Linked DNA regions of Xenopus tropicalis. The protein of the gene in region 3 interacts with the protein of the main gene of each other region in a pairwise test. Links are inferred from orthologs where the notes say so. Each region holds a gene or a part of one and is shown on either strand. Other genes may lie near its edges.

The links.
Region 1: the proteins of ube2k (region 3) and trim2 interact in binary tests that used the Homo sapiens proteins (3 or more experiments, as listed by UniProt). The link is inferred for Xenopus tropicalis from reciprocal best matches to the Homo sapiens genes UBE2K and TRIM2.
Region 2: the proteins of ube2k (region 3) and rnf5 interact in binary tests that used the Homo sapiens proteins (3 or more experiments, as listed by UniProt). The link is inferred for Xenopus tropicalis from reciprocal best matches to the Homo sapiens genes UBE2K and RNF5.

What each region holds. Positions count from the first base shown.
Region 1 is NC_030677.2:55,159,767-55,169,897, forward strand, and holds the start of trim2 (tripartite motif-containing protein 2), read right to left. Parts: upstream 5,293-10,131; 5' UTR 4,999-5,292; intron 1-4,998. UniProt on the Homo sapiens protein: UBE2D1-dependent E3 ubiquitin-protein ligase that mediates the ubiquitination of NEFL and of phosphorylated BCL2L11. Plays a neuroprotective function. May play a role in neuronal rapid ischemic tolerance.
Region 2 is NC_030684.2:73,544,289-73,554,419, forward strand, and holds the start of rnf5 (E3 ubiquitin-protein ligase RNF5), read right to left. Parts: upstream 5,728-10,131; 5' UTR 5,715-5,727; coding exon 5,614-5,714; intron 3,993-5,613; coding exon 3,974-3,992; intron 1,363-3,973; coding exon 1,250-1,362; intron 667-1,249; coding exon 606-666; intron 1-605. Other genes in the region: agpat1 (1-acyl-sn-glycerol-3-phosphate acyltransferase alpha), read left to right, coding at 5,955-6,057. UniProt on the Homo sapiens protein: Membrane-bound E3 ubiquitin-protein ligase that mediates ubiquitination of target proteins. May function together with E2 ubiquitin-conjugating enzymes UBE2D1/UBCH5A and UBE2D2/UBC4.
Region 3 is NC_030677.2:36,217,379-36,227,509, reverse strand, and holds the start of ube2k (ubiquitin-conjugating enzyme E2 K), read right to left. Parts: upstream 5,434-10,131; 5' UTR 5,323-5,433; coding exon 5,260-5,322; intron 1-5,259. UniProt on the Homo sapiens protein: Accepts ubiquitin from the E1 complex and catalyzes its covalent attachment to other proteins. In vitro, in the presence or in the absence of BRCA1-BARD1 E3 ubiquitin-protein ligase complex, catalyzes the synthesis of 'Lys-48'-linked polyubiquitin chains.

The DNA.
Region 1 (10,131 bases), about 19 Mb from region 3:
TGTGAAAATTATATGCAAATCGGTATATGGAATATCCAAATTATAACTATGTAAAGACAGTTATAGTTAAGTAGCCAGTCCTACTACTGGAGTCAAACACCTAAGATAAGTCACATGGAAATCTCACAGCAATACAGACAACATATTAAAACATCCCATTTCTTGAAAAAAAAAAAAAAATCAATAAAAAATCTAGAGCTTTTTTAATGCAAATTGCATATGACTGACCTTTAAGCCTTTGTTTATATTGATTATTCTGAAACGCATTAGCTCAGAAATAATCCCAATGGCACTGACCTGTTTTTACAACAGTGACTCCCTATTGTACTAGCTACGTGACACTAGTTACCTAACCTATGTATGCGGGGGAGCATCTGTGAGCTACCTCAACACATTGTGATATAGTGTTAGGTGCAGGAGGTATCTTTATGGGGAGGGATTGGCAGCAAGGTGGCATGAGATGACTGGTGTAGCTTGTGCAGGCAGAATCTGTTTTAAAGTGAAAAAAAAAACAAACCATACACAATGTATAAAATGTTAGCCACATGCATTTACCCTGCCTATCTCTGCTGTACCAAGCCAGTGGATTAGATTAGAGTGATTACATTTCTAATGTGATCAAACTGTTCTCCTTCCATCTGTAAACTGTCACCTGGGGCACTGATAGACAACCCAGGGCACAGACCTACATCAACATAGATATACTTATGGTACTTATAATTTAATTTTGTTGTTCAATACATCTACTTCACTCCTTTTGTTCTTTCTTCTACTTTTTCTTTTCTTCCCTTGTTTTTCTTAATTTTTTGCTAGGTTTCTACTCCTTTTCCCCCCCATGTTGCTTCAATGTTCCCATATTTTCTTCTATTTCTATAATTCTCTTCAATTGTCTCTCCGACCCAGTGTCAGACTGAGATGGCAGGGGCCCACCAGAAAACGCTGGACCATGGGCCTACTCTCAAAACTTTAGATTTCTCCTCCCTCAAACTCTTTATTATCCTAGTCTCTTTTCTCTACATACTATACTCTATTCTTTCATCTCTTAATCTACCTTGCTCCCATACAGAAATAGGGAATGACCATGAAATAGACTAAATAGTTAGAAGCACTCCCACTGGGAGTTTTCCTGGTATCCTGGTGGGCCAGTCCGACTCTGCTCCCACCCACCCCATTTTTTTATTTGTTTTATCCACTAGTCAATCTGCTCAACCTTTTCCTGGTAAGCTTTATAGTTCTCATAATTTCCCCCCTTCTCTCTACCCTCTCATTTTTACCCTCTCTCTTCACAAATGTATCCACTCTCCCAAATTCTCACTGTTTTCTTCTCATCCACTTCTCTGACACGGTTTCCTTACGTATTTACCTTCCCCTTCTGCATCCCTTTTACACTCTCATCCTTCTCATATTCTTCTCCTATTTTTAAACAAGCAGCTGAACAGAACTGCAAGAATGTTTTGACAATACAATATAAAAACCCCTATAACTAAGCCTAATTTTCGACAGGGTATATTTAGTACCTTAAAACAAAGTGTCTGAATACTAAGGAGTGATAAGGAGTTAATTCAGAGACTAATGCACAGGCTAGGACCCAGAATCAAATAGGCTTTTCTTTTGCATTCTCAGCAATGCACTTGCTCTCTTTGTATTCAGTTCTGGAAGGAAGGAATTTCTGTGCCCGATTAGTCACAGTATAATGGAGTCTAGTTTAGAGAAACTGGCTCTGATCATTTAAGGAAAGCTCTTCAAATCATGTTACACACACAAAATAATTAAAGTATGCCCTTAAAGAAGACAGTCAATGGGCTACATACATTTTAACAAAAGCCTTTAGCATTCTGAAATACAGAACAGCCAAACCCAGAAATAGCTAACTTACTACAGTACCTACAATAGTAGCAGCAGAATTTATACATTTCAGATATACAGGTTTTCCAATAAATCTCCTTCTCTTCACATATGCGTCTAAATTCAGGAATGGTGCAGTTATATTGCTGCTTCATGAGCTTCAATACATTACTATCTATTTGTGGCCTCTATGTGCGAAGACAGACAGAGCTACTTAGTAGCAGCTACTCGTCATGGCTACTAAATACCAGAAAATACCCTGCCGTAGACACAGAGAATTGCTTCTGCTAAAACACACGTAGACAATTAGCAGTAAATTATCAATGCTGATAATTTACAGATAATTATCTCTACATGAGCTTAAGCAGAGGCAATTCTCAGTATTGTCTATGGCAGAGTATTTTCTGGCTTTTAGTAAACGTGACAAGCAGCTGCTTCTTGTAGCTCCATGTGTCTTCACCCTATGGGTGATATTTAATTAAAGGAGAAGGAAAGGCTAGTAAAGACTTAATCTCAAGCTGCAGGCATACCTTCAGTTATCTCAATAGTGCCCTTAAGTCTCCCCATATTTTGCCTGTTCAGATGATCAGAAGCCAAACAGGAAGAAAAAACGCTGAGCTGTGTAAAGAAAGTTCACGTAATGCCTCGCTGCTGTACTGAGACCCAGACCAGCTACTCAGTAAGCGCATGCGCATTTAACATACAGTATGCTGTGAACACGCTTTGAATTACACAAGCAGGGTAGAGTAGGTCACGCTTGCGTCTAGGGGGAGGGAGAAGATTTGTGCATGCGCATTTCCTTACGCGGCGCCACGTAGGACTAATTTAAATATCCAACATGGCGGCCGCAATAGGCGAAATATAGTGTTTATGAAAGTCGGAGAGTGCAGGCAATATACAGGCTATCGAGGTAAAAATAAGGTAGCAATCAGCTACAGGGACCTGAGGCCTTTCTAGTTATGGGGTCGCACTTTTAACCCTTTCCTTCTCCTTCAAGGAGACTGTTACTAGTGAGGCTAGAAGCATGGCAACTAACATTACTAGTACAATGTAGTTGGTAGGGATGTCAAGAATCTATTGTTTTAGGACCCAGACTAGTACAAAGAGCATTATCACCAGGAAAAGGTAAGACTGGCTGAAATATATTTGGATTTCGTGAAATCAGTATAACCGTTTTAAATTTTGAATTCCCAGAGTACTGAGTAACAGAGCGATACACAAATGCAATATGTGAAGCAAACATTATATTATCCAAATCATGGCCAAATAGAAATGATCTACTCATTTGTCACATTATTGTCTCATTATTCTCACATGCAGGGGCCAAGGTGGCATTAGTAACATGAACATTTTTAGGGTCGGGTATTCGAGGCAAGGAGGCAATACCATCAACCAATGTTTACATTAAGGGTCAGATCTTTATGTCTTAAGTTACAAATATATAATTTACAGTTGTGTTTATAACTAAAACTAATATTTCCCCATCAATGAGAATTTCACTCATAATGGTCCAAGCAGGTTTTATCTTTAATCTTTTAGTTCATAACAAAAAAGTCTCAAACCAATTCTGTTAAATTGCTTTTGCTGTAATACACCCACGTTGGAGAAAAAAGCCAAGGTTCGCTCAAAAATCAGATGAGGGATAAAAGCAATCTACTTTACTAAAGTAACATGTCCATCTGTTACATATCTATGGGAGGTACAAGCTGGTTTATTAAAGGGCTAAATATAAACCATATATACACAAATAATGTCTATTTCTTTCAGTTGTTTGCAATTTACAGCAGTTATAGAAATATAATGCTGTTCCGGACAACTCTAAATTTATGGATACGGTACCTATTTTACTGTCACTCAGAGAATAAGCCTGATATGTCCTGCTGTGACTGGAACTATCAGGATTAGTGGCAGAAAGCAAAACTCAGTCATGATTTTTTTTTTTTTCCACTGGAATTAAGCAGATAGGAGTTATGCAAGGATAAATACACATTTTATCCCTGTCTCCTACTTTATTAAACAAAAATATACTAGCTTCCCCCATTAATTTACTCTTAAAATAAAATGTTTTTGCTGACATCAATGACAGCATGGATTAACAAAGCAAATATTTCTGCATCATGGGTTAGTTGGCATATACAGCCCTTGGCGTAACAGGCAAATATTTATATACTGGTAGTATAGATAGGGCTCATTACCTTCCTCTGCCATATAATTTAGGGTGGTTAATGGAAAGTTAACCCTTCCATGACATACACTAATCATAAATAATAATAACAATAAACTTGCCCCAGAATATATAGAGCTTTTAAAGCTCATCACTTTTTTTTGTTAAAAAAAAGAATTATACAATTCCTTAAGGATTCTGATTCGATTTGGTATTTGGTAGTATCTTTCATGAAGCATTTGGTCGAATCAAAAAATGACAAAGTTGGTGCATCCTTAATACTCACACCATGTAACTCAAAAGAGGAATCATTCTTAGTAGTAACTGAACCGGATAAACCGCATGCTATTCAGTTACACACAGATTTGACAGGTTTCCCATGAAACATTCAATCTGTGCAGGCTGCTTCTCTTATAACCAAACGCATCCATCAGCTGATACAACAAAAAATGTTATGTAATATAACGTAAGAAATGCTGTGCCCAAAGGAATCCCACCAGGTTATTATAGAATGTGCCATGGCTGCCAAGAGCTAGTAATGCTTGCCTTGCCATCTGCTCCCCACCCAGGCACATCACAGAGCTATGTAGCAGCTGAGTCCAGGGGCCGTCTATCTCCATTCATCTCATAATGGACAGTGATGGGAGAGGCTTCTAATGTGATTACATCCCAGCACAGCCAAGTACAAAGCTGATGTTTTAGTGGGTGGGAAGGGAATCGGTTTCTTTTTTTGTTTCTCTTTTTCAGATGAAAAATAAAGGACATTTAACCATTTAATTGCAACCTTTTTGGAACAGCAGTGGCCACAATAAACACAATAATCGCACTCATGGCTGAACAAGAGGACCCATTCTGTATTGTTACCCAAGAACACACAGCTGCTTCACCCCCAAGCAACCCGCTATTATTAGGAGAAACCTAGCAGGTGCATATGCCAATTCATAACACCAGCCAAAACCACAGCCTCACCTGATTCACGGCATACATACCCATTGTCGTTGGCAATTCCATGTAGTCAGCAAAAATACTGGGCTGAAATTCTATTGTAGCAACGAGAGACAGAAAATCCCACAGGGAAAAGCATCATCCTTGCTAGTAAAGATTTCCAGGCACACTGCAGGGAGAGGCAGGGCAAGCAGTCCTCCATGTGAAAGCCATTCTCAAACAGCCGTGTATCAGTGGCTGATGCTTGATTCCTGGTACAGCAGTGACGCACAGGGAAAACGTAGCAGAAAAAAAGATAGGCAGCTGCAGCTCTCTCATCAGCTACAGAGGTGAAAAACCCGGAACAGAATTCTGGGTCATTGATTATTTTAGAGTCCCTCGATAGAATTCAAACCTATCAATCTTTATTTAGTGCATGGCTTTTCTCTGGGAAGCTGGAACTGAAAGACTGCAGCAAAAGAGGCAAAGCATTGTGGGATGGGGATGCAGCAGCAAGCTGCAAAGGGATTTGTCTTTTCTTTTTTTCTCTCTCACCCTCACAGCATCAGTCAGCAGTTTGAGGAATGACTGGGCTGGTGTAAAGGCTGGAGGGGTGTTTCTCAGGCTCCTACATGAGTAGCATAATACGCTGAGTCAAGGGACAATAGCTACATGAATTTCTGTGAAAGGGGGAAAAGATAAGTGGGAAATGTTCAGCTCAGCCAAAAATGCCAGATAATAATAAAAAAAGGGCTTGGTAAAATTGATACACATTTTATTCCAGAACAACATGAAAATCTGTCCCTTTATAATCTTTAGCAAAGACCATTTTATGCCAGAATTAAAAAAAAAAAAATCTTTGTTATACAGGACAGTAGCCTTTTCTGCTGGCCACCTGCTACAGATTTGTGGCATGCACCACTATAAGAGACAGATTTATTTATGAAGCGATATAAATGCAGAGCGATATACAATATACTAATGAACATTTAAAAAGCATGTAGTTAGCAGTGACCTAGTAAATGTGCTGTTTGAGTAAAGACGCCAACATATTTCTGATTATTAAGTAATTAAGAAGAAATTTAAATAAGATCTATCATTAGCTTATTTTGTGCAATTGTTTTAATTTTAATGTTTGTTAGGTTCAAATGAGTAATGCAGCTGTAAACACAACAAAGACCCAGTTAGATTAGAATGGTCTAACAAGTTCATAACCTTATACAGAGCAGACAGCTTAACAATCTGTTAAAAGGGTATAGTAGGTCTATAGGCGCTTAAGACATGATTTTTCACATGTTCGACATTTGATTATATGCACCCAGGAGTACCCATTTATTTGCAGCAAAAAAAAAACCATGAAATATATGTTGATACATTCAGCATGTATTTCAAGAGATGCACATTCATATGGCTTTGTATAAGCATCCTTGAGATTATAGTAGTACATTGTCTAGTTTCAGCAGGTTGCTGAGGTCTTTAAAGGGGCAGTATATCCCCTTTTTTCAAGGAACTGGTGCAAGAATTCTAGGCATGGGGGCCACGGCCCCTTGGGCCAATACGACATCCTTAATGCATATTTTCTAATTAAAGCATTAAGTATATTTTTTTATATTGCTTGCAATTAACAGGTTAAAATTTTAAATAAAGAGCAAACTCACATTAAAAAGAAAACACCACCCTGCCCTTGTGAATTAGAACAAAAACAGTTTACTTACTGAGTTGCCAAATTCCATAAAGTATAGGGAAAATAAACAAATAAGCTAATCTCAAAGTCTACAAAATGAAGGGAAACATCTTCCAAGGTTTACACTTAAGCTGGCCATACACACAATGATAATATCATATGAAACCTTGTTTCGTACGATATTCGGTGCGTTTATGGCAACTTGGCAAGCCGACCGATATCACAGAAGGCTGCTGATATCGGTCGACTCGCTGATCGGGCGGGTTAAAAGATTGTAAAATCTGCCTCGAGGGCTGATTCGACAGAAGGAGGTAGAAATCCTATTGTTTCTACCTCCATATCTGACAATTCATCCCTGAACGTCAGTGGGGGGTTGGAACAATCTTTCGTGTGACTGATGGTCGCATGAAAATTTGAAAATCGCCACATATGTGGCCAGCTTTAGTCTTTATAAAAAAACGTGCCTTAATTTTGGAGATAAATGTCCTCTGTATATTGCTAAATTTGTATATTGCCCTTTATTCTGAAGATGTGTAGTTTTTATTGTAATAGACTATTTAATTAACGGGAAAAACATTTTCAAACCTTTTGAAAATGTTTTATATTTTATGTTTTATATTGAAGAGCACTGTCACATTTCACTTCAGATATGGAGGAGCACAATTAAAATAAATCAACAGTCCCCCATTAGCTAAGCTGAAGCCTGTTAGGTCTTTTTAGTGCAAGAAATAAAAAAAAAATTTCCTAAAGAGAGGCAAGAGTATGTTAAACACTATTCGTTCAACTCATGTTGAAAAAGGGGGTATACTGCCCCCCTATCTCAGTTAACATCTGTATGTATTTATTTTGTGAATGGTTATTACATATGCATGCCTCCATCACACCTGAGGTACAGGTATAGGACCTGTTATCCAGAATGCTCAGGACCTGGGGGTTTCCAGATAAGGGGTCTTTCTGTAATTTGGATCTCCATAACTTAAGTCTGCTAAAAATCATTTTAATATTAAATAAACCCAATACGTTTGTGTTGCCTCTAATGATTAATTTTATCTTAGTTGGGATCAAGTAAAAGGTACTGTTTTATTATTACAGAGAAAAAGGAAATCGTTTTAAAAAATTAGAGTTATTTTAGTTTATAATTGAGTCTATGGGAGACGGCGTTTCTGTAATTCGGATCTTTCTGGATAACAGGTTTCCAGATGAGGGGTCCCATACCTGTACCTGGACAGCGGTCACTGATCACATTCTCCCTTCTGCAAAAACCACTAACAAAGGAAAAGACAACTTAAAAATTAACATCATACCATTTTCAAGGCTGACTGACTTATGAGGGGGAACACACTATATTTGACCTGCTTTCCTCTCCAGAGTGCTCATACCACTCTCACACTCTGCATACAAGAACACGGGCTAATATGACCTCTTGCTTGAGTCCAGCCCCCTGCTCCTTTAGTGTGTAATGAGTACATTTGTTCTGTATTTAATTACATTAGTCCCCAGAACCCCTTCTGAAGCACATCATTTTGAATTACCATCACGCCAAAAATCACAGCCACAATCTTGAAAGCCACTTAAAGGGGACCTGTCACCCAGAAATAAAATCTGTATAATAAAAGTCCTGTTCAAATTAAACATGAAACCCAAATTCCTTTTCTTATTAACATATCCATACCCATTATAGAGGCATTTAAAAATCCCAGCTATTAATCATATATTGCCTGCCCTGCCTAAATGCCTTAGGTATAGAGGTGGGGCAGCCAATCACTTTCCCCCTCCCTCCTTACTGTCTTATTGTGTAGCAAGCATTGGCATCAGGTCCCCCATTCTGGCACAGCTTGCCTTACTAACAAAATGGCTCCTGCCTGCTTGCTGTAGTTGTGTAACTCCAAGAATGGAGGAAACAAGATTTAAATCATTTATATAGTGTAAGTGAAGTTTATTATGCTTGACTTAAGAGTTTGAAATTATTTCTTAGGGTGACAGGTCCCCTTTTAACTATTGCCGATCTCTGCATCCTTGGCCATGGTATAGAGGCATGGTAAAATATTAGTTGTCTACATATAATAACAACGTACAAAACCACATGGGCAACCACATATGTCAAACTGGCATAAGCAGCAATACAGTTTAGATTTTTTTTTTTATCCAATACAGTAATGACAAAAAAATAAATAAAAAAAAGCACATAGAAAAGCATAACATCTGGTCATCTGTGCATTTAATTTAATAGCTAAATTCATAAAAAAAACAGAATTCTTTCATTACTTATTCATTAATGACCCACTTACTGCCTGATCCTTTTAACGCAATGCAACAATCTGTTCACTTGGTGATTTATAGCAAAAAAAATCACAGCCGATTGCCACCTTTGAGCGCAAGATTTACAGAAATAAATACAATGTTAAAAAGTCTGCATTAATACTTATTTTGCGGCAGAGGCAGGGGGGACATATGCCCTAGAGCCCTGTTTCAGCTTGATTGGCTGCCACATGGGTAGGCCATAGCCAATTTACATAAATGTAGTAATTGTTTTGATGAAGGAAACACACTATTTTTACCAGTGTACAGTGACAATACATACTATTTAACTGTATATAAAACTCTTTAAGAGTTTGGTGTTATCAGTCCTATAAACTGAACATTTATGAAAAAAATGGCCTAAACAATGACTAGATTCAGACTGCACTCCCCCAGGCCAATCTGTCAGATAAATACATACAGACTGGCCTGGGGGAATACTAAACTACAATTCCCATTATACCCCCAAAGTCTTCAGCTAGAACTACAATCCAAACAAGAGGACTGCAGTTTTGACATCCCTCATGCATTTATTTTTGATGTAGGTACTGGGTAGAATGAGCAATCTGAGACCTTTATTTATGGATAATTGTATTTTGTTGTTTTAATTTATAAGTAGGTTGACCAGCCACGCTTTAGTATTTAAGTAATACATTTTGGTGGTATGTAGGAATTATATGATAGAGCACAAGGTATATCTAAGTTTATTTATGAATTGTGGTTACTTTTTCTGATGTTGTGTGCCTCCCCACTCTTACTCACAAACATCATCCATACCTACTATACAGTACATTATACCAATATCAAACCTCCCAACATTTTGAAAATGGAAAGAGGGACAAAAATAAATGCTGTGCAGCAAATTTTTTTGACCATGCCCATTTTCGCGGCCACACCCCCTAAATACCACTCCCATTTGACTAAATTTGGCAGGTTATTTAAAGTTTGAACACATTTCTGAGGGTTTTGGGGTCCTGTTTTATGTGTTATTACAGTTTTGCTGAAAAAGGTGAAACTGCCCTTTAAAGAATAAGTAAACCTTTTTTTCTATTAATAAAATTACTCTAACCAGCATCCCAGAATTGCCTACCTTTGTCCCTCTGTTCTTTCTGACCTGGTTCCTCAGTTACAAGCGGATCGATTCCTCTCCTTCCTTGTTCAGAATGAAGCTCCCCACTTCCTGTTCAGGTCTCTCATTACATCAACTACCTGTAGT
Region 2 (10,131 bases), on a different chromosome or scaffold from region 3:
ACCAGGCAGAATATAAGGAATCAATTAGCTGATGCATTTGGGTGTGCTGAAACCTGCACCTAAAACTTGCATCAAATGCAAAAAACACATCTGTGTGTAAGAGCCCTTAGACAGGCTCACTTTGACTAGCTACGGCACACAACAAAATGCAATAGTGTACATTTTAGGCTATCAACACACAGTGTTTCCCTTCCAGGTCCAATGGAAGCATCCTGTAGCAGGTAATTTTATTATCTCGTGCAAGTCAAACAGACCTATGTGCAAGTGCCCTATGTACTGTAATTCTTTGGCACCACAGTATCATGCTGCATTCCTGGGTCACAGTCCTTCTGGATTTTCATTTCCAGCAACAGGATTAGTTTTAGAGTTCCCACAATAGTTGCTGCCCCCTAAGACTTCAGACTTTAAGAAGCCAGAGCGAGTGCAAGAGCAACTAGTTATTCACAAACGGTGGCTGAAGTCACAATCCTGAAAACATTTTATAACTGAAATATACAGGGTGGGCCATTTATATGGATACTTAACATAATGGGAATCCATTCCCATTATGTTAAGGTGTATCCATATAAATGGCCCACCCTGTACAACTCATATAAAAAACATACTCCTCCTGCTCTGTTCTCTGGCTCTGGTCTCTGTCCCTGTGGTCTGGGAGGAGTCTTCAATCTTTCAAAGACAGGAAAGAAAAGTAAGAAATCAAAAGAATAAACATGGGCTTACATATATCATACATAGGTGTGCATTTATATAAAAATATACAAATATTTAGTTGTAGGTGTGCTTCCTATGGTATGTGGGGGCACTCAGAATCATACAATATACTAAACAATTCACGCTCATTCTGCCAACGCCTATTATTTAATTAATAAAATTGTCTATTTACATATCTCTCTCAATGCTTCAAAATTGAGAAACATGGAAATATTATAGGAAATAATAAAACATTTACTATAGTAAGTTATAGTAAATATTGGTTTAGTCCTTCTATATATGATGCTGGTCCTTTGTGAGAAGTTCTGTATGCACAATTACCTGCTGACAGGCCTGCTGTTTGACCAAATTTCTAGTATACCAACACAAATGCCATGACTGCTTCCCACTGACTAAAAGCTACACTATAGCTAAAAATTACTGGTGGTGCTTTCTGTTGTTAGCAATCATAGGCAGAGCACTTCATCTGATCACTGCAAACAAAATTCCTTATGGGCCTCATCCATATAATTTTATAGCCTTATAACATATTTGCTACCTTGGGTCCTTCTGGTTACTGTCTCCTCTGCCGTAAATAGGAATAACCTTCTCTCTGCTTATACCGGCCTTACAAACAGGGCATTCTTGGCGATCCGGTCGGGTCTCCAACCACTAGTAACAACAAAATAAGTCTTAGTTTTGGGCCAATAATTATATTGCAGTATGTGACACATTAACAAAAACTGACTGCAATGTCTGTTTAATGAACATTTTTATTAGCTAACATTACTTTTGATCATTCATAAAAAAAGACATATTAAACATAAATCACTAAGAAGTTATTACTTCTGACAAGGGTTAAAATGAAACCCCAACTAATTTTTCTCTACTGTGAGAGCACTGCAACTCATCCAGCCCTATTACTATCTTTTCTTACCATCTTTTCTTTCTCTCTCTAACTTCTGTTTTGAATTTCTGAATTTCCTTCTCTGCAGGTCCTGTTTACCCTATTCTTTATCACTTTTCCTCTCAACCAACATCAAGTGGGCATTTTGAATATACAGTAAAACCTTTCAGTTTTCAGGAATGTGTCACCATGACTATGTGAATCATGTCATTACTAATTGTTCATTTCCTAGGTTCATCCCAGCTCCCCCCAACCACAGAAGAACACCTTCTTACTAATGTGTTGAACCCTGACGCAGATATTACCAATGGCAGGGTTACTTTCCCATTACATAAGCTAAGTGCACCAAGACTCTGCAGCAGATTTAGACAAATTTGATTTGTCTAAACATAAACATGATACACCACAGTTAATAAAAGCTCTTCTACATGAACTGCTCCATACCTTATTAAAAGCTGAACCTGGCTTTGGATTCACAATGGCAAATATATGGAGATAGAGAGTGACAGCTGTTTTCAAACGTATTGTCTTTTTAACAAACTGTTAAGCAGGATGAAGGCTCTGGGTCAATCAGTTTTTTTTAAGTTTAAATAAGTCATATGATTAAAGGCTTCCCCTCTGTTCTGATCATTTAGAACACCAATTGTAATGTAAGGAAAGCCACAGGAAGTTTAGAAGCTGGTAATACCTATAAGGGCTCTGGTACACGGGGAAAATCGCAGAAAAAGCCTCGCGAGTCTTTTTCGCCGATTTGTGCGAAATCGCGCTGCCGCGTCTGCCATCCCGCCGGCGACTTACACGTACGCCGGTGGGATGGCAGGGGGAAGGCAACTCGGGGAGATTAGTCGCCCGCGAGCAGGGAGTTTTGTCGCGGGCGACTAATCTCCCCGTGTACCAGAGCCCTAAAAGATACACAAGCCTTTGCTTCCTGTGGGGCAAGTGTTTTATTTCACTTTTCATTTGACTACTGTAACCTGCTACTAACCGGCCTCCCTAACTCCAATCTCTCCCCCCTACAGTCTATATTAAATACTGCTGCCAGAATTCTCCTCCTCTCATCCAGGAGAGTTCAGGCCCTTCCCCTGCTAAAGTCCTTATCGTGGCTTCCTGTTAAACAAAGAATATCTTACAAACTCCTTCTCTTAAAGGAACAGTAACACCAAAAAATCAAAGTGTATAAAAGTAACTAAAATATAATGTGCTGTTGCCCTGCACTGGTAAAAGTTGTGTGTTTACTTCAGAAAGTCTACTATAATTTATATAAATAAGTTGCTATGTAGCCATGGAGGTAGCCATTCAAAGGAGAAAAGGCACAGGCACATAGCAGATAACAGATAAAACACTATTGTATTCCACAGAGCTTATCTGTTATCTGCTATGTAACCTGTGCCTTTTCTCCAGCTTGAATGGCTGCCCCCCATGGCTACACAGCAGCTTATTATATAAATTATAGTAGTGTTACTGTAGCAAACACACCAGTTTTACCAGTGCAGGGCAACAGTGCATTATATTTTTATTACTTTAAAGCTCTTTCATTTTTTGGTGTTACTGTTCCTTTAACCTTCAAAGCCCTCCATTCCTCTGCTCCTCACTACATCTCTTCCCTTGTGTCTCTGTATGTTCCTGGCCGACTCCTTCGTTCCTCACAGAGCGATCGTTTGGTTGCGCCCCCCACTACTACTGCTGTTTCCCGCCTTAAACTTTTCTGCCTTGCTGCCCCTTACATTTGGAATGCCCTCCCTGATTTCCTCCGAAGAGAATCCTCCCCCAGTCTTTTTAAAATTAAACTTAAAGACTACCTTTTGGAGCACTCACCCAGCACCTGATCTGGGAATCAGCACTTATATTGTAGTGTCACCCACTGTGACCTACAGCACTTATAGTGCATTTGCCTATTTGTGTCTGTAAGTTACCCTCCCATATAGATTGTAAGCTCTACGGGGACCTCCATCTTCTTGTGTCTTTGACTCTTAACTTATTGCAACTGTATTTATCTTGTATCTATCTGTATTTATTGTTGTACTTTGTATTTATCTATTATTTAATAATCCCCTGTTTGTATTAATGTATTGTACTGTACAGCGCTGCATACATAAGTAGCGCTTTATAAATTAAGATATACATACATACATACATACTTTTCACTATATGAACAGGTTGCAGTCAATATGCAAACGGTTTGAACTACTACAAACAAATAAAATACCCTTCATGTATACTACAGTAGTTTATCTATGTTATGCTTTTATTACAAATAAATATTTCTGTAACACTGAACATGTGATCTGAATGAAACCGTTAGCACTGCTAGCTGCTGCTGCTACAAAGCTAAAGAAGAATTTAACTCATTCTACTTTTTTATTAATAAATACATACCTGATGCAGACAAGGCCAGCTGTAAAACACAAACATAACATCAGAATACAGAACACAATGCAGTTTTAACGATCAGCGTTGTTATATAAACACACATACAGAAACTACAAGCAGTGGCATTTTACAAGCGTCTCTTCCATACAATACATATAAACAAAATCTGTTTACACTAACAAATCAGTGTTTATACTTTGGACACATTATCTGTTTAGCCTTGCGGTCGTTTGTGAAAAAATATTCATTTTAAACATATGAATCTGAACATACTTTGCGTTTTCTGGCTTAAGCCAAGTGAGTTTTAATGATATAATGAAATATGTAAAGCAAAATGCACTTTCTTTGGCTAAGACAAAAAACAATATTGTACCAGCTGTGCTTACAGGTTCTATTGGAATATTTGTGCTTAAAATGGCTGTGCTTGCAGATATAGCCTAGTTTATAATTCAATTGTAGAATTATGAAGACATTGATTTTCTAGAACAAGCATCAAAGGATCCTCTAATTGTCACCTTTAATTTCAAGCATCTACAGGGCACAGGCACATATGTACCAGCAATGTAGAATCTGCAGTTCCAGGGTTTCAGTTTAATCCAACAACACAAATCATGGCGTGGATCAAAGGGGCTCAATAAGTGAAAGGATTAATATATTCACTGTAAGATTGGGTTAAACATAGAAGATTGCAGGGTACAGTGAAAATACATCAAGAGAACCTGTTAAAATTTGCTTATAACAAGATTACAAAATGTCAAAGGGGAACTGATGCAAAAATAAAAATCAGCTTTATCTTAAGAAAATATGATTGGTCAAAAAATATATTTTGTACTATTTCTTTAATATTTAAGTTACTCTTCAGTCTGTTTTTTTTGTTCATGGAGTAGTCAGTGAGGACTAATTCATCATTGGGGATGCATTCCAATTGCCTAAAGGAAATCACTCTTTCAAAATAACCAACTCGCACACAATCTTGATCCTCTACATGAATTATTTGTGCTTAAGTCTGCTTTTATGAAAGAATTAACTCAAATACATCTTCTATGGCAGGCAATGGGAGCCCCACCCAATAGCTGTATTAAACATGATTGTCAATCATAATCAGACTCCTGCTTCAAGAAAAAAAAAAAAACAGAAAACATTGAAACAATGTAACAGTAAGGTCTCCATTTTTATTTTATTTTATTTTATTTTTTTAAATCATTGCAGACAATTTTCCTTTTTTCATTGCAAAAAAATAGTTTTTGTATGGAGGCAAATTTTAATACGTTTAGAAGGTTTGTTTTTCATGACATGCAACTTATATTGCATTTTAGTTACCCTTTAACATGCTGTAGCTACAGGTCACATGATATGGTTCTAAGAGCATTCAACACATTCCAACTAGTACTCTGGGCCTCATTCTTTCCCCTCATCCAATGCTTTGAGTCCTTTATAGGGGAACAGTTTCAGTTGGGGTGAAGCTTTCCTGAATATTTCGGTCTTGTACTTTACTGATAGCTTTCTGACCGTAGCCGAACCCCCTAACAATGCATTCCTACAGCAAACTAAATACATACCCACTGAAGGACACAGTCTCAGCAAAGCAGAATTAACAAGCTTAGCAGAGACCTGCCTACAGGGCAGACACATCACATTCCACTCACCAGTACAAATGCCCACACACGCTGACAACAGGTTCCCGCGCTGTCTCCAAGCAGATATTACACTCATAAGCCGCACCGGGGCTGCCAGCAGCCGCCGCCATGGCAACCGATCAACCGGAACCTAGCTGTGCAACTAGCGGAGCGTCACGGGAAAGGTTAAAGAGTGTATTGGACGCAAAGATAAACAAATCTTGTGTGTGATAGGGTGGACAAGTTCTCCATCACAATTATGCACCCCTATTGGCTATGCACTTTCTAGTTAGCTGTCAAGCAGTCAAAATGCTGATTGGTGATACTAGGATAATACGTGACATCGATTGGTTGTAACTCCCGTCACTCAAATGCTGACGACACCTCTTGTCTCGGATAACCGTTATGACGCGGCGTCTTGCGTTCGTGCGGGAGTGGAATACACGTTCCGGGCCCACAGGGTTTTTTTTTGTTGTAGGTTAAAAACTTTATTCCTTGTTAAAAGAAGGCAATAATGAACAATCCTTATTTGTAATCGGAGGTGAAGACTGTTATGGTAAAATTATTCGAGTAGAGTTACCAGCAGTGATACGTATTTTATAAACTACCGGATAACAATATATTTTATTGAAACTTGTGCAATATTATGCGATAGTTTCATAAGTGATGTGTTTAGAGGCCTGTCACCGGCAAAATCTGCAAGCAAACTTTGTATCTGTGCTATTAACGCTTAAGTACACACACATACTTCCACCCAGCCCTATATTATATTTATAGCTTTTACTTTGTAAACGGAAGATTCTGTTGGTTATATTTAGCATCGTTCAGACTGTAGGTCGGAAAACAAAATCGATGACTGGTTTTTTTTGGTGGGGGGAGGTGGTTTTCTATGTTTTTTCCTTTAGTGAATTTTCTTCCTACTAAAGGCAGTACTGATTCAAATTTATATATTATTATTTATTCTAAACCAGTTCTTGAAGCAACACCAAGCCTGACTTCCAGGCTAAATCTTAGTTCCCTGAGAACAAGTTTGATAAACCCTGATTAAGATATTTTAAATGTAAGTAATAGTAGTAAGAATGCAGGACAAAATGCCATATATTTAGTTCCTATAATTTTGTAGATGACAGTTTTTTGTTTTAATAACTATAGATACAATAAATGCATGTGTTTTCCTTTAGTAAGGTTACTGTATTACTGTAATAAATACATTTTTTGTTACTTAGAATCTGAAGATAAGTGGTTCCTGTATAATGAAACCATACAGAAACAACTCTTAAGGTGGCCATACACGGGCCGGTTGTAGCTGCCGATATCGGTCCCTTAGACCAATTCGGCAGCTTATCGGCCCGTGTAGGGGCAGGAACAACGGGCGACCTCACCAAGCGAGCGGATCTTAACATGTATGGTCACCTTTAGGGTAGTGGCACTTAGAGTCAGGCCAGGACTGGCAATCTGTGGATTCTGGCAAATGGCAGAAGAGCTGCTGCAAGGTGACAGACCATCGTTATCTATTGGGCTTTCTGGGAGCAGTTTGGGCGTCTCTGTAGTTTAAATTCCCATACATATTTTGAATTCCAGTCTGGACCTTATAGGAGTGCCACATTTAGAAGCAGGTCAAAAATGCAGCCCCAAAGTCAGGTATTGACACCCACCAATTTATATTTAATGACTGAATGGCTCTACTGCAAGCATGTGTCAAGCATTACAGAGTACGGCAAGTGGTGGGTGACCTTAGGCTATCTGTTGCCACAGTTATGGATTGCTTAAAAAAGCAGTGCAGAAAAACATGCTATTGCTTTTAGTGTAGTGGTACAAGGGTCAGGCTCTGTGCACTTTGTTTTTAAATAGACAAAAATGCTGCATCATAGTGCCTTAAAACTACAACTCATAGACTGGCATTGAAATTGTCTGAATTTTGCGCGCTCTTGTCAGGCAGTGGTTGTCTGAAAAAGCAACAAGTTTATCAAGTGATAATTTGACAAGCTCTGTCACAACATGGCATTAAAATGTGGCTCTCAAATAATCTTGTCTACCATTACCCTTAAAGTGTTGTGTTACTAATTATATAATTAATTAAGATAAGGCGATACACTTGGCAAAAAGCATTATGGTAGTTTGTGCTGCTGAACAAATGATACAAATTCTGGGTGAGAACTGAAATGGCCTTTGGCCTCATCAAGGTGTTAAAAACTCTATGTAGTTGGACAGAGTTCTGGCTATGTGCTGATCAACCTGCTGGGATCAGATTATTTTTTTTTTTTATTATCCTTTATTTATATAGTGCCAACACCTTTATACAGAGGTTTTCATAGACTCTATATCACTATACAGGCTACTGTCAAATGCCATATTTTTTCTGCAGGTGGGAAAAAATAAAATTTTGGCTCTATACTTCCCAGTGTTATGTACATTTTCTGACTGACCGTAAATAATAGGGGGGCAAATAGGGATTTTCTCTACCAGCATTTTTCTGCCTGGCAGAGAAAACAATGCCTGTGACAGTAGCCTTAAGACCCCTTTAATTTCACACCTAAAGTTAAATTATAGGTGTCAGATAACCTGCTTGACTGTGTTTAGAATGTGGGAGGACACCCACACAGAAAAAGGAAGAACTACAAGCTACTTTAACAGTGCTTTCTTCAGAAAAATCCAAGTGCTGCAGGGCAATAGTTCTAACCCCTGAGCCACAGCATAGTGCTTATTTTCCCCTGTCACTTTGCAAAATTCAGAACCATAGAGGTTAAAAAGTCTTACTGTATACACCCATAAAGGACACCGAGCAGCAGGGTGCAAGAAACGGAAAGCACTGCTGAAAGTCAGAATAAGAAATATCTAAAAATAAACTTATACATGAAAAAGATGCAGAGAAATTCACTGTAACAGAAGGACATTGGGCATTTAAAGGAACAGTAACACCAAAAAATGAAAGTGTATAAAAATAATTAATATATTATGTACTATTGCCCTGCACTGGTAAAAGTGTGTTTTTGCTTCATAAACACTACTACAGTTTATATAAATACCCTGGCTGTGTAGCCATGGGGGCAGCCATTTAAATTGAAAAAAGGAGAAAAGGCACAGGTTACTAAGTAGATAACAGATAAGTAGCATAGATTCCCATTGTATTCTACACAGTTATCTGTTATCTTCTTATGTAACCTGTGCCTTTTCTCCTTTTTTCAATTTAAATGGCTGCCCCCATGGCTACACAACAGCTATTTCTATTAACTACAGTAGTCTTTGTGAAGCAAACACACAACTTTTACCAGTGCAGGGCAACAGTACAATATATTTTAATTATATTAAAACATTTTTATTTTTTAGTGTTACTGTTCCTTTAATAGAAGAGATTTAGTTTAGACCAGAACAAGAGAACCAAAGACTACAGTAGCCAGAATGCACTGCATAGTCCGGATTTAAAACTACAAAGCCCACCATGCATTGCTGTAGCTCCTCCTTTCCTATTATGTTCTCCCTCTATATCTGCAGATTGAAGTGGGCATCTTACAGCTTCCTCTGTTTTCCCCCTCATCAGCAAACTGGATTCTTGCTTTTAATTGTTCTATGTGCCATCCCCCCTTCCCATACTGTGTTTTGCCTAACCGGTCCTGAAGCTCTCCTCTGAAACGTTATCCCTCTTCCTGTTCTTCCCTCCCCTTTCTCCCTTATTTGTCTCCCCACCCGTCCCTACTCTATTTCTCTACTTTCCTTTATCACTGTCTCTGTATTTGTTCCTATGTCCTCTTTGGTTTTTTTTTCTATTGTGTCTTGGTTATTTTTATCTACAGAAGCTCTTCTCATTCATCAGTACTGCCCTTTGTATTTCATTTTTGTATTTTTTTTATGGTATGTTCTGTTTGTGTTTTTCTTATAATCTGTTTTAAACTTTTGCCACCCCTTTTATCTGTTCCCCTGCACCAGTCAGTCTGATCCGCCTGTAACCCCTTCCAGCTGGCTTCTCTGTTGCTTAGTTTATTGCCTTTTTCTATTGCGTAGATTATTGTAAAATCTTCTATTGAACCTCAACTCCATAGTACTTAGTCTTGGGGAAGGGGGGGGGGGGGCTGAGGTGTGACTGACAGATCCCTTCTCCTATCATTTAGCACTGTGTTAATTATTACTATCTAGATTTGGGTAGTGTGGTTACATCAGCACCACAGAGGAAGTGAATGTGATGGAGAGGAGGAGGGCAGAAATCTAGAGGTAGTTATAGAAAACAGATGAAAGGCTATACAGAGTTAAGTGGAAAAGGGTGAAGCAAAGGATGGGGTGAATAATGTGAAACTAGGGGAGTTCAGGGATTTGGTATGCAGGGAACAAAATATATAATTTGCCTGTACTTTTAAGAATTAAGTATGCCTAGATGGGGAAGAAATTTGAACTGGAACGGAATGTATATGGGAGCAATGATGAGGAGAGGCAAAATATGTTAGAATCCTCTGTAAGGAAAGTGAGGAAATAAAGGGAAAATAACAGTGGGTAAAAGAAAGAAAACTGGCAGAGGGTGGGATAATGCACTGAAGGCAAAGCCGAATAAGTGAGAGT
Region 3 (10,131 bases):
ATCCCACCGGCGAAAATGTAAGTCGCCAGTGGGATGGCACACGCGGCGGCGCGATTTTGCGCAAATCGACGAAAAAGCCTCGCAAGTCTTTTTCGGCGATTTCCCGAAATTCCCGCCGCGTGTGCCATGCCACTGGGATGGCAGGTGAAGGCAACTCGGGGAGATTAGTCGCCCGCAAACAGGGAGTTTTGTTGCGGGTGACTAATCTCCCCGTGTGCCAGAGCCCTTAGGAAAACACACCAGTTGTACCAGTACAGGGCAGCATTACATTATATAGTAATTACTTTTATACACTTTCATTTTTTGGTGTTACTGTCCCTTTAAGGCAGCTGTATCTGGGCCGACAAGACATAGTATTGGAATTAACCCATGGTAGAAACAGATAGATTGCCTGCAACCTGAACCACGACAACAGCAGCAAGTTCAGAAGGATTGTCGCTCCTTATCGGTTAATGCTCCATCCATTTACTTTGGATAAGGTGCATCAGAATATTATCAAACAGGGCCAATTCCTGAAGCAACAGTTACCCCCAGTACATAGATATTGGTTTGGATCAGTGGGCTTCCATATAAATACCAAATACAAGATGCTTGCTACTCTATTAAATTACTTAAAATCAGGCAGTTATGAAACAGATTCTCTGGTTCGGGAGTCAATATGTTAGAGCCATGCTAAACAAAGACAGTTTTGCCAGTGCCAAGTGCAAGTTTAGGAAGACAGCAGGAGCTGAATGTGTGGCTAAAGTCTTCATGTAGGAAGGAAGGGTTTGGGTTCCTAGAGCACTGGGCTGACTTTTACTTAGGGTACAATCTCTATAGCCCTGAAGGGTTGCAACCTCAATGGAAGGGGGTCTGCTGTGCTAGGGGAGAGAATGGCTAAGAGGCTGGAGGAGTGTTTAAACTAAGCAAGGGGGGAAAGCTAGTGCAGACCTGACAGTGGGATTAGCAAGGCATTATGGGAGAGAAGTGAGGGGGGCATACAGTTTACCAGCTAAGGAGATCCCTCTGTTACAAAGAAAACAGCCTAACTGTAAACTTAGCACTAACTCTCCGTTAACCAATATAAACATCATAGGGAAAAGTAGTAACCGCCACTGTATGCTGCCAAATGCACAGAGCTTGTCAGGGAAATTAGGGGAGCCTTAGTGCATTGTGCCTGAGTCTGAGCTTTCAGAAGGAGCCAGCACTACACATTAGACCTGCTTTCAGGTAACCTATTGTTTCTCCTACTCCTATGTAACTGGATCAGTCCCAAGCTGGACTTGGATTTCTTACTGTGATTTTCTGATATCTATTGGGAACTGCTATGCTCCCTTCCCATTGTTGCTGCTGGGAGGGGGGTGATAACACTCCAACCTGCAGCACAGCAGTAAAGTGTGAATGAAGTTTATCAGAGCACAGGTCACATGGCTGTGGCACCCTGGGAAATGAAGAATATGGCTAGCCCCATGTGAAATTTCAAAATTAAATATAAAAAAAGAAAATCTGTTTATGCTTTTGAAAAACAGATTTCAATGCAGGATTCTGCTGGAGAAGGGTTATTTACTCCCATGAGTTAATTCCTTTAAGGGAGTGATAAGGAGGTATTTTCCAGCTTATCTGGAATGAAAGTGCAGACGTCTCACAGTTTATCTAGTCTCCATCTTACCATATTCCATGTGACACACCTTGCATTACTAAGCACCAGGCAGGTCATTGCAGCTACCCATAAATCAGCAGCTCACCGGCAACCATCCAATCACTAAGGGTATATCTTAAACAAACATCTGTGATCTAAAAACAAACATTTTTATAGCTCTGCCTGTGTAAAACAATTATTCATTCCTACACCAGAGATGCTCCATAAAAAAAGCCATTGCTTGGTAAAACCAAGATAATATGGCCATCACAGATAATTTAAATTTGAGAGAGATCAGCCCTTCTAAATGACTCCCAGGGCATAGGCACACAAACTTGGCTATACAGGCCTAGCTATACTCTATACTATGGGAATGTATAAATATATTCCTACATTAAACTAACTTTGAAGTTAAGGCCTTTACCAACTTAGAGATTCAACTATAATCTTTGGGCTCTCAAATCTTTTTATATTGTTAGCCAGCGTTTTGAGTGTCAACGACACTGTACATGCTCAGTGTGCTTTAAGCTTCTGTTGAGAAGCTACAATAAGGAGTTGCCAAACTATTAGTAGAAAGATATTTAACATCCGTCATAGATACTTATACTACATCTATCAAATCAATTCTGCTGCAGAACGCACTGGTTTCTATCCAGCCACATAATGTGAATAAGAATTACTAATTATCTGTAAATTTTAAATATACAGAATATTGCGAGTTGTTTCTTAAACTCAGGTAACAGACAGCAGCCCAAAGCATGTGCTATGATTCAGCAGAAATGAAATACAAAATATAAGATGTATCATTTCCAGTCTAACTCATTGTTGAGCTTCAGTTCTCCTTAAACATATGGTGAATGCCTGTAGGAGGGTATGTAATAAAGAGGGACTTACACTTTACTTAGAAATAAATAAATTCCCCCCTCTTTCTTTATTTCCTAACTAACCAATCCACAGAATTGCGACTATCTGCATAACCTGATAAAAAATATAAATAAAGAGTTAAAAAATAAATAAAATTACTTTAGAGTGTTATTCCCCTTTTAATAATTTACCAAATTCCAATAAATACACCAACAATAAAGAAAATGAAAATAAAATAAGGGGATATATTTTTCTACTAAGAAGTCAAGACAGCTTTTGTGGCTGCTTGTAGCCATAGCTGGACTTATCTATTTGCACAACTTGAGCAGACCCTCGTCAAAAAAAAAAGCAATGTGTATTACTAAATATCACTTAGTATCACTGAGATATTATGTGCATTCTAATCCAACTAGCTGCACCAGGTTCAGCCTAATAAAAGGTTCAGAATTTAAGGTGTCCATACATAGGGCAAATACTGGCTGCGATTCTTGATTGAGTCAGCAGGCTACTGACCCATCTGGCAGATCAAATACATTAGCCCTATGTCCAGGGCTAGGAGCTTCTGCTGCTCATGGAGAAAGTAAAATTGCAGAAATGACCACTAAAAACCTCTGGTGAACACTGCAGCTTAAGCTAAGTGAAGACAAACGGGGTGTAGTGCTGCATGTTATGATACTTTCTAAAAATCTTTTGTGGCCCTTGCTTAACCTAAAATAAATGGAGGACAAAGAAGAAATAAGCAATTACTTTATAACATTAGAAAATGTGTATTTCTTAATATGGTGAGCGATATTACTAATCCTAATTTGTAACTGCAACAATTTTTAGATGCAGCTTCTCAATGAATGGGCAGCACGCTGTCTCAAATGAAAGTTTCTCCATAAAGTGGCAGGAGGATATGCGGCAATGCCAGCCTTTGATCTAGCGCACACGAGAAAGTTACAGTTAACAAATTTGCACTCCACTGTTTCACAGAGTTACCCAGTGATTATGACCAGAAGCCACATATTTACCAAAGATTGAATCTAGAAGTCATCATAGTCTGCAAGAGTGAAATTCTGCTACTCTTTATACATTAATATGAAACTTTAGAGGGTATATTTATCAATACATATAAATGAGTTTACACTTTGATAAATATGTTTTCACTAATTGAATAGAAATTAATATAATGAGGGAAATTTCACTGTGGCTGACTATGGCAAGCTGTAGTTTAATACTTTGATAAATATCCCCCTTTGATTTCATTTCTGAAGTTTCACTGAATGGATTTCAAGGGCCATTAATAAGGAGAGAAAAAGTTGGAAGGGAGAGCCAGAGGGAACTGCAGTCTTTTCTACACAACTGTCCTACTTTTCCATGTCTCTAATACAATCCTTTAGTACCTTCTACATGACTCTAAACACTTCTGCAGCCCCACTCTATGGCAGTCTCTAATAAACTCCTGTCAAATCGTTCCAAGGCAGTCCCTAATACACTCCCATAAAAAAAACTCCATGGCAGCCCGTGATACACTCATGTCAAACCTATCCCTATCAATCTCTAACATACTTTTGTAGTAGTGATGAGCGGGTTGACCCACAACCTGCATTTTACCCTTAGGTCAGGCAGGTTAGGGTTGGGGGGTGTTGTGGGTTCAGGTTGGGTGTGGGTCAGACTAGGGAAGCACCTCTGCTCCTGAACTTTCCCTTCCTTGGAACCTAAGGCGAGAGCAGCAAACAATGTAGAAAGACGCAAGTACGTGTTTTAAATGCAAATCCTATATCGGCAACAATTTGTGGGATACGGTCAGTTGCAGGTTGACTTTTTCCTGACCCCCACACCACTATCTTGTAGTCTCTTCTGCAGTCCCTTTCCATGGCAGTCTCTACACAATCCTGTAGTCTCTTGATGGCAGTTTCCAATTCACTCCTATAGTACCTTTCCACGGCAGTCTCTAATACACTTCTGTAATTCTCCTCCAAAGCAGTCTCTAATACACTTCTGCAGTCCCTCTCCAAGGCAGTCCCTAATACACTTCTGCAGTCCGTCTCCAAGGCAGTCCCTAATACACTTCTGCAGTCCGTCTCCAAGGCAGTCCCTAATACACTTCTGCAGTCCCTCTCCAAGGCAGTCCCTAATACACTTCTGCAGTCCCTCTCCAAGGCAGTCCCTAATACACTTCTGCAGTCCCTCTCCAAGGCAGTCCCTAATACACTTCTGCAGTCCCTCTCCAAGGCAGTCCCTAATACACTTCTGCAGTCCGTCTCCAAGGCAGTCTCTAATACACTTCTGCAGTCCCTCTCCAAGGCAGTCCCTAATACACTTCTGCAGTCCGTCTCCAAGGCAGTCTCTAATACACTTCTGCAGTCCCTCTCCAAGGCAGTCTCTAATACACTTCTGCAGTCCCTCTCCAAGGCAGTCCCTAATACACTTCTGCAGTCCGTCTCCAAGGCAGTCTCTAATACACTTCTGCAGTCCCTCTCCAAGGCAGTCTCTAATACACTTCTGCAGTCCCTCTCCAAGGCAGTCTCTAATACACTTCTGCAGTCCCTCTCCAAGGCAGTCTCTAATACACTTCTGCAGTCCCTCTCCAAGGCAGTCTCTAATACAGTCAAGTAGTCCCTCTCCCTATCAGTCTCTAATACACTCCAATAGTCCCTCCCCATGGCATGCCTGGCTGTGGCAGCCTTCTATACTACCTCTTTAGAGCAGTTTACTGGATTTATCTTAAGCACACTGTCACCAATTGTTGCCCCTCATTGTATATAGCCAGACGCACTTCTGTCTCCTCTCACCTCTTCGCTTTTGAGCACCTCCTTGAACTCCCTTTTGATCCTCTGTGCTGCGATGTTCGCCATAATTGCCCCAGTTTCCGTACTTGACTGAGTCACCTTAAATTGCTGCAGTGCACGTTAAGTACGCCAGGCTTCCTCCCTCCGTGCAGTGCCGGCCCTGTGTGCTCTGCCTCCCCCGCCCCGCACAACGAAACCTAGCACAACAGTACACTGCAAAATGGCGAACCTGACACATGCGCAATACAAGAGTCTGGGCGGCCCACAGGAAGAACTTCCTGACAGGGTCCCTGCTCACGTCACTTTGGCCCGCCCCACAAATGAGACGTAACAGCGCGCCACAGAATCCCCGGGCTCCATTCATGCAGGGCTCAGTCACGTGATGTGTCACTGGACCCCAGCGCTAAACAGAAGAGTCGTGCAGTGTTGTAAAGTTTGGCTTTAGCAGCAGATTTCTATGAAACCAAAGGTCGTAGCCTGCCAGAGCTATGCAATTCTTATTAGAGGATGGGCTGACTACCTGCCCCTAGTAAGCATTTGTCTCAGCAAAATAGATATGCCACAACATGCATTAGTCACCTGACTCGTATTGGAAATCCAGAAGTTCCTGCTTAGTCTGCTGTATGGGAACTTTTTGTTCTCTTCCTTTTCAAAAGTCCTATGACTGGTCATGACCTACATCTGTTATCTAGAAAAAAAATAAAGCAGGGGCATAACTACAAAGGAGGCAGACCATGTGGTTGCAGGGGGGCCCTGGAGTGTAGAGGGCCCAGTAAGGGCCATGACACATAGGGAGATTAGTTGCACCACAACAAATGCCATCCCGTGGCATACACGGCACTGCGATATGCCGAAGTCACCGACATTTCCTCTCAAGGCGACTTTGGCAAATGGCGGCGCTGCGTATGCCATCCTACCGCTGATTTACATTGTAGCCGGTGGGATGGCATTGCGGGGAGATTAGTCGCCCGCAACAACAGAGATTTGTCATGGCAGCTCTAATCTCCCTGTATGTCACGGCCCTGAATAGTGAGCAGTTTTACTATATCTTGATAGGATAGGTCAATTTACCAACGATTTGGGCCCCTAAATTGAATTCTTTTGGGACAAGTGACATCTATTCATGCCACTGGTTGTGTGCATTTTCCTAAGCAGAGATGCTATCTGGATAATATAGCAAAGGCCAGCCAGTTAAATGATACATGCCACTACAGTTATTAAAGGACAAGGAAAGGCTAATACCTTGGGTGGTGCCAGTTACTTAAAATAAATGCACCACCAGAGATACCTTGTGCCTCGATTTGAATTCTATATCTGTATATCCATAGTTCAGTTAATTTTCTGGCTTAAAGGGGTGCTGCTCATCCCAAAAGAAATTACCTTTAAATAGTAACACCTTTTACAATGTGTCATTATGGCTTAATTTTGGCGGAAAATTAAAAGCCACCATTCTTAATTTAAAAGGTATTTTCAAATGCTTTAGAGACTTGGGACTGATTATGTGACATAAAGTCTTTATGATACCATAGCGGTCATTCTTGACCCCAGGGGACAAAGTGCAAGAGCACTAAAGGGCGCAAGAGTGGCTTTAGAGAAGCCTTTCTTCAATCATTATGTTCTGTACTTACTTGTAAATTTATAAGTGTCTTACATATACTGTTTTTATCAGTACTATAAATATTTGATTGGTATATTTTAATTGATAAAGAATAAATTCTGTTTGTGCAGATTCACCCAAAGGCACCCCTGATTCGGATGGATTCGGTTCTCAAGCTAGCCTTAGTTATGTCAACTATGGCCTTTAAGACAGAACCACCTCAAACAACTTTCGGTATCTGAAATTTCCATAACATAATGTACCGAGGAGCCTATCGTCCATGAGCATTTATACTTTTAATTTTAGGGTGATTTTGATATGATGCAAAAAAGATCTTGTATTTAATTGATTGAGAGAGTCTGTTAGATCTTAACAATGTATTTTAATTATTGTTAGGATAAAAGATCATGTGAACAGCCATATCACCTAATTAATCATATTTATCGTTTTCGTAAGGTAATTCTCAGTTAAAATCCATAACCCCCAACTGAGTCATTGGGGCCGATTTACTAATCCACGAACGGATTGAAAGCACCCGAATGCGTAATAATTGTGTAGCATACCTCCCAACATTTTGAAAATGGAAAGAGGGACAAAAATAAATGCCGTACGCAGTGTGGCGAATTTTGTTGGACATGCCCATTTTTTTGCGACCACATCCCCTAAATACCACTCCGATTTGAGTAAATTTGGCAGGTTATTTAAAGTTTGAACACATTTCTGGGGGGTTTGGGGTCCTGTTTTATGTGTTATTACAGTTTTGTTAAAAAAAAGTGATATTGCCCTTTAAGCTGCAAGTCTCAGTTCCCCTAAGAGACCTGTTTAGCTTATTAGTTACAATTGTATCTCAGTGCAGGGGGGGCTTTTTACCTTTCTGGGCTCTCTGCCAAAAGCCCACTTATTAAATTAATAAAACAATGTTTCTAAGTGCAGGTGACGCTTGTTAAGATTTCTGGGCTCTCAAAAAACTACTTTTAATTAAATTTGTATCTTTTTTAGCTTCAGTGCAGGAGATCAAAGGGAAATAAGGGACTTTTCGCCTGATTCCAGACAGGCTTGCCGAGACTATGCCCAGCTACTCTACATTTACCCTACCTGTGCCTGCACCCAAATGAATGAAATATGCTCGGGTGCAGGCACATGTAGGCGATATCCGCCAAAAAACGCAAGACTTTGTATCTTCAGCAGATATCGGCTACATGTGCCTGCACCCGAGCGTATTTCATTCATTCGGGTGTAGGCACAGGTAGGGGCGTATGGCGGAATTTTCGGCAAGCGGTTTTCGGTTTTCCGAAAATATACGCCATACGCTCACTGTGGCATCAGCCCTCAGTAAGAATCTGGGACTGCGGGTTGAGCTGTCAAAAGAGGAACTGACCCGCGAAAATCGGGACAGTTAGTTAGGTATGGCGTAGCTTGAATAATCTAGCGATTTACGCTATTATATATTTGAATCTAGTTTTTTTTCCATAATTCATTTTTTAAGAAATTTTACAAGTCACTGGTTCTGTTACACAGATTTTATACATTTAGGGCTCTGGCCCGCGAACAGGGAGTTTTGCCGCGGGCGACTAATCTCCCCATGTGCCAGAGCCCTAAATGTAAGTCGCCGGTGGCATGGCACACGCGGCGGCGCGATTTCACGCAAATCGTCTTTTTCCGCGATTTCCCGAAATTCCCGCCGCGTGTGCCATGCCACCGGTGACTTACATTTAGGGCTCTGGCACATGGGGAGATTAGTTGCCCGCGGCAAAACTCCCTGTTCGCGGGCGACTAATCTCCCTGAGTTGCCTACCCCTGCTATCCCACCGGCGACTTACATGTTCGCCGGTGGGATGGCAGGGGTAGGAAACTCCCCGTGTGCCAGAGCCCTTAAGAGACAAAATGCATTGTACCACACTGCTTTGTGGGTGACTTGCTGGCACACTGTAGCCCCTTATATTCATGCACAAGCAGCTCCTTTTTGTAAAGACGTGGCAGGCCCAGACTGAAAATCTTTATATTCTGGAAAATGCCAAGAGTAGCTACTGTAAGATGTGAATCTCAGTCCACACATAAACTGCAGACACACTGAGTAATTGGTCAGTACAGAGCCAGGCCTTTTATCAGTCACCACAATATAAAGATCATGTGGTGGAGCCATTAGGACCATTCCTCCAATGATAGTACAGAAGCCTTGATGCTATTATTAATCAAAAAGTTTTGTCAATATGTACTAATTGCTGCATTTAGAATAGATTGCAGATGGAAGTTAAGTTAGCTCACACTGGGAAGTTGCTTAAAAATTGAGTAACTGTGTGTATCTGGAAGTGCAAAGACCAAAGAGTTGAAATTCACGAATCTGTGTGCTAGCGACCAGTATACTATGAATTGCTTGCCTGAAGAAATAGTCCACCTTGGAAGTTACTTTTAGTATGATAGTTGAAGAAGTTAACAATTGGTCTTTTTTTAGTCTTTGTGGTAAATATTTAACCTTTTGTTCTACAATTTTCTAGTTTGAATTTAAACTTTTATCTGGTTTCTTGGGTCGCAAATACCCTTGATGTTTGGTTTAAAAAAATAAATCAACTAAATCAAAATTTAGTTTCTGGATTATGCTGTGTTCTACTCAACAGGGTCAGTTATGCTCACGCCCCCAACAACCAAAAATGTAAGGTAGAGAAATGCTAAATTAAAAGACATATGGTTTAGAAACTATAGGAGAAAAACATAGCTATCTAAATTATTCTGAAATTAAATTTTAAGGCTGATGTTGCATGTAGTGCTGACAGAACCCCCCCCCCACCCATTATGCCTGACATGAATAGAAAACACTAAACTGTGCATTTCTGTGTCAAAAACGTCCTGTCATGAGCTTAGGTCAATGACAAGAGGCAGAGGGTTTGTATCTCCATGGCGAAAATGCACTGGTAGAGAAAAACTATTTGTGTCTTTAGCATAAAAACAAAGCACAAATATGGCAAAATTAGTATTGCATTTTTAGTAAATTTAGTAAACACCACACTGAGAAAAGCTGCATAATTTTTCTGTTAGGGATGCAACAAATTAATTATTAATTATTAGATTAAATGGGATACTTTATAAAAGTTTAAACTAAATACAGAACCAGATGTGAAACCTAATTTGCTTATTTAATTTACAGCACAGTACCCCTCCATGGCAGTCTCTAAAACACCCCTGTCAAACTAATACACTCCTGTTGTACCTCTTCACAACAGTCTCGAATACACTCCTGTAGTCTTCTCCATGGCAATCTCTAGTACACTCCCGTTTTACCT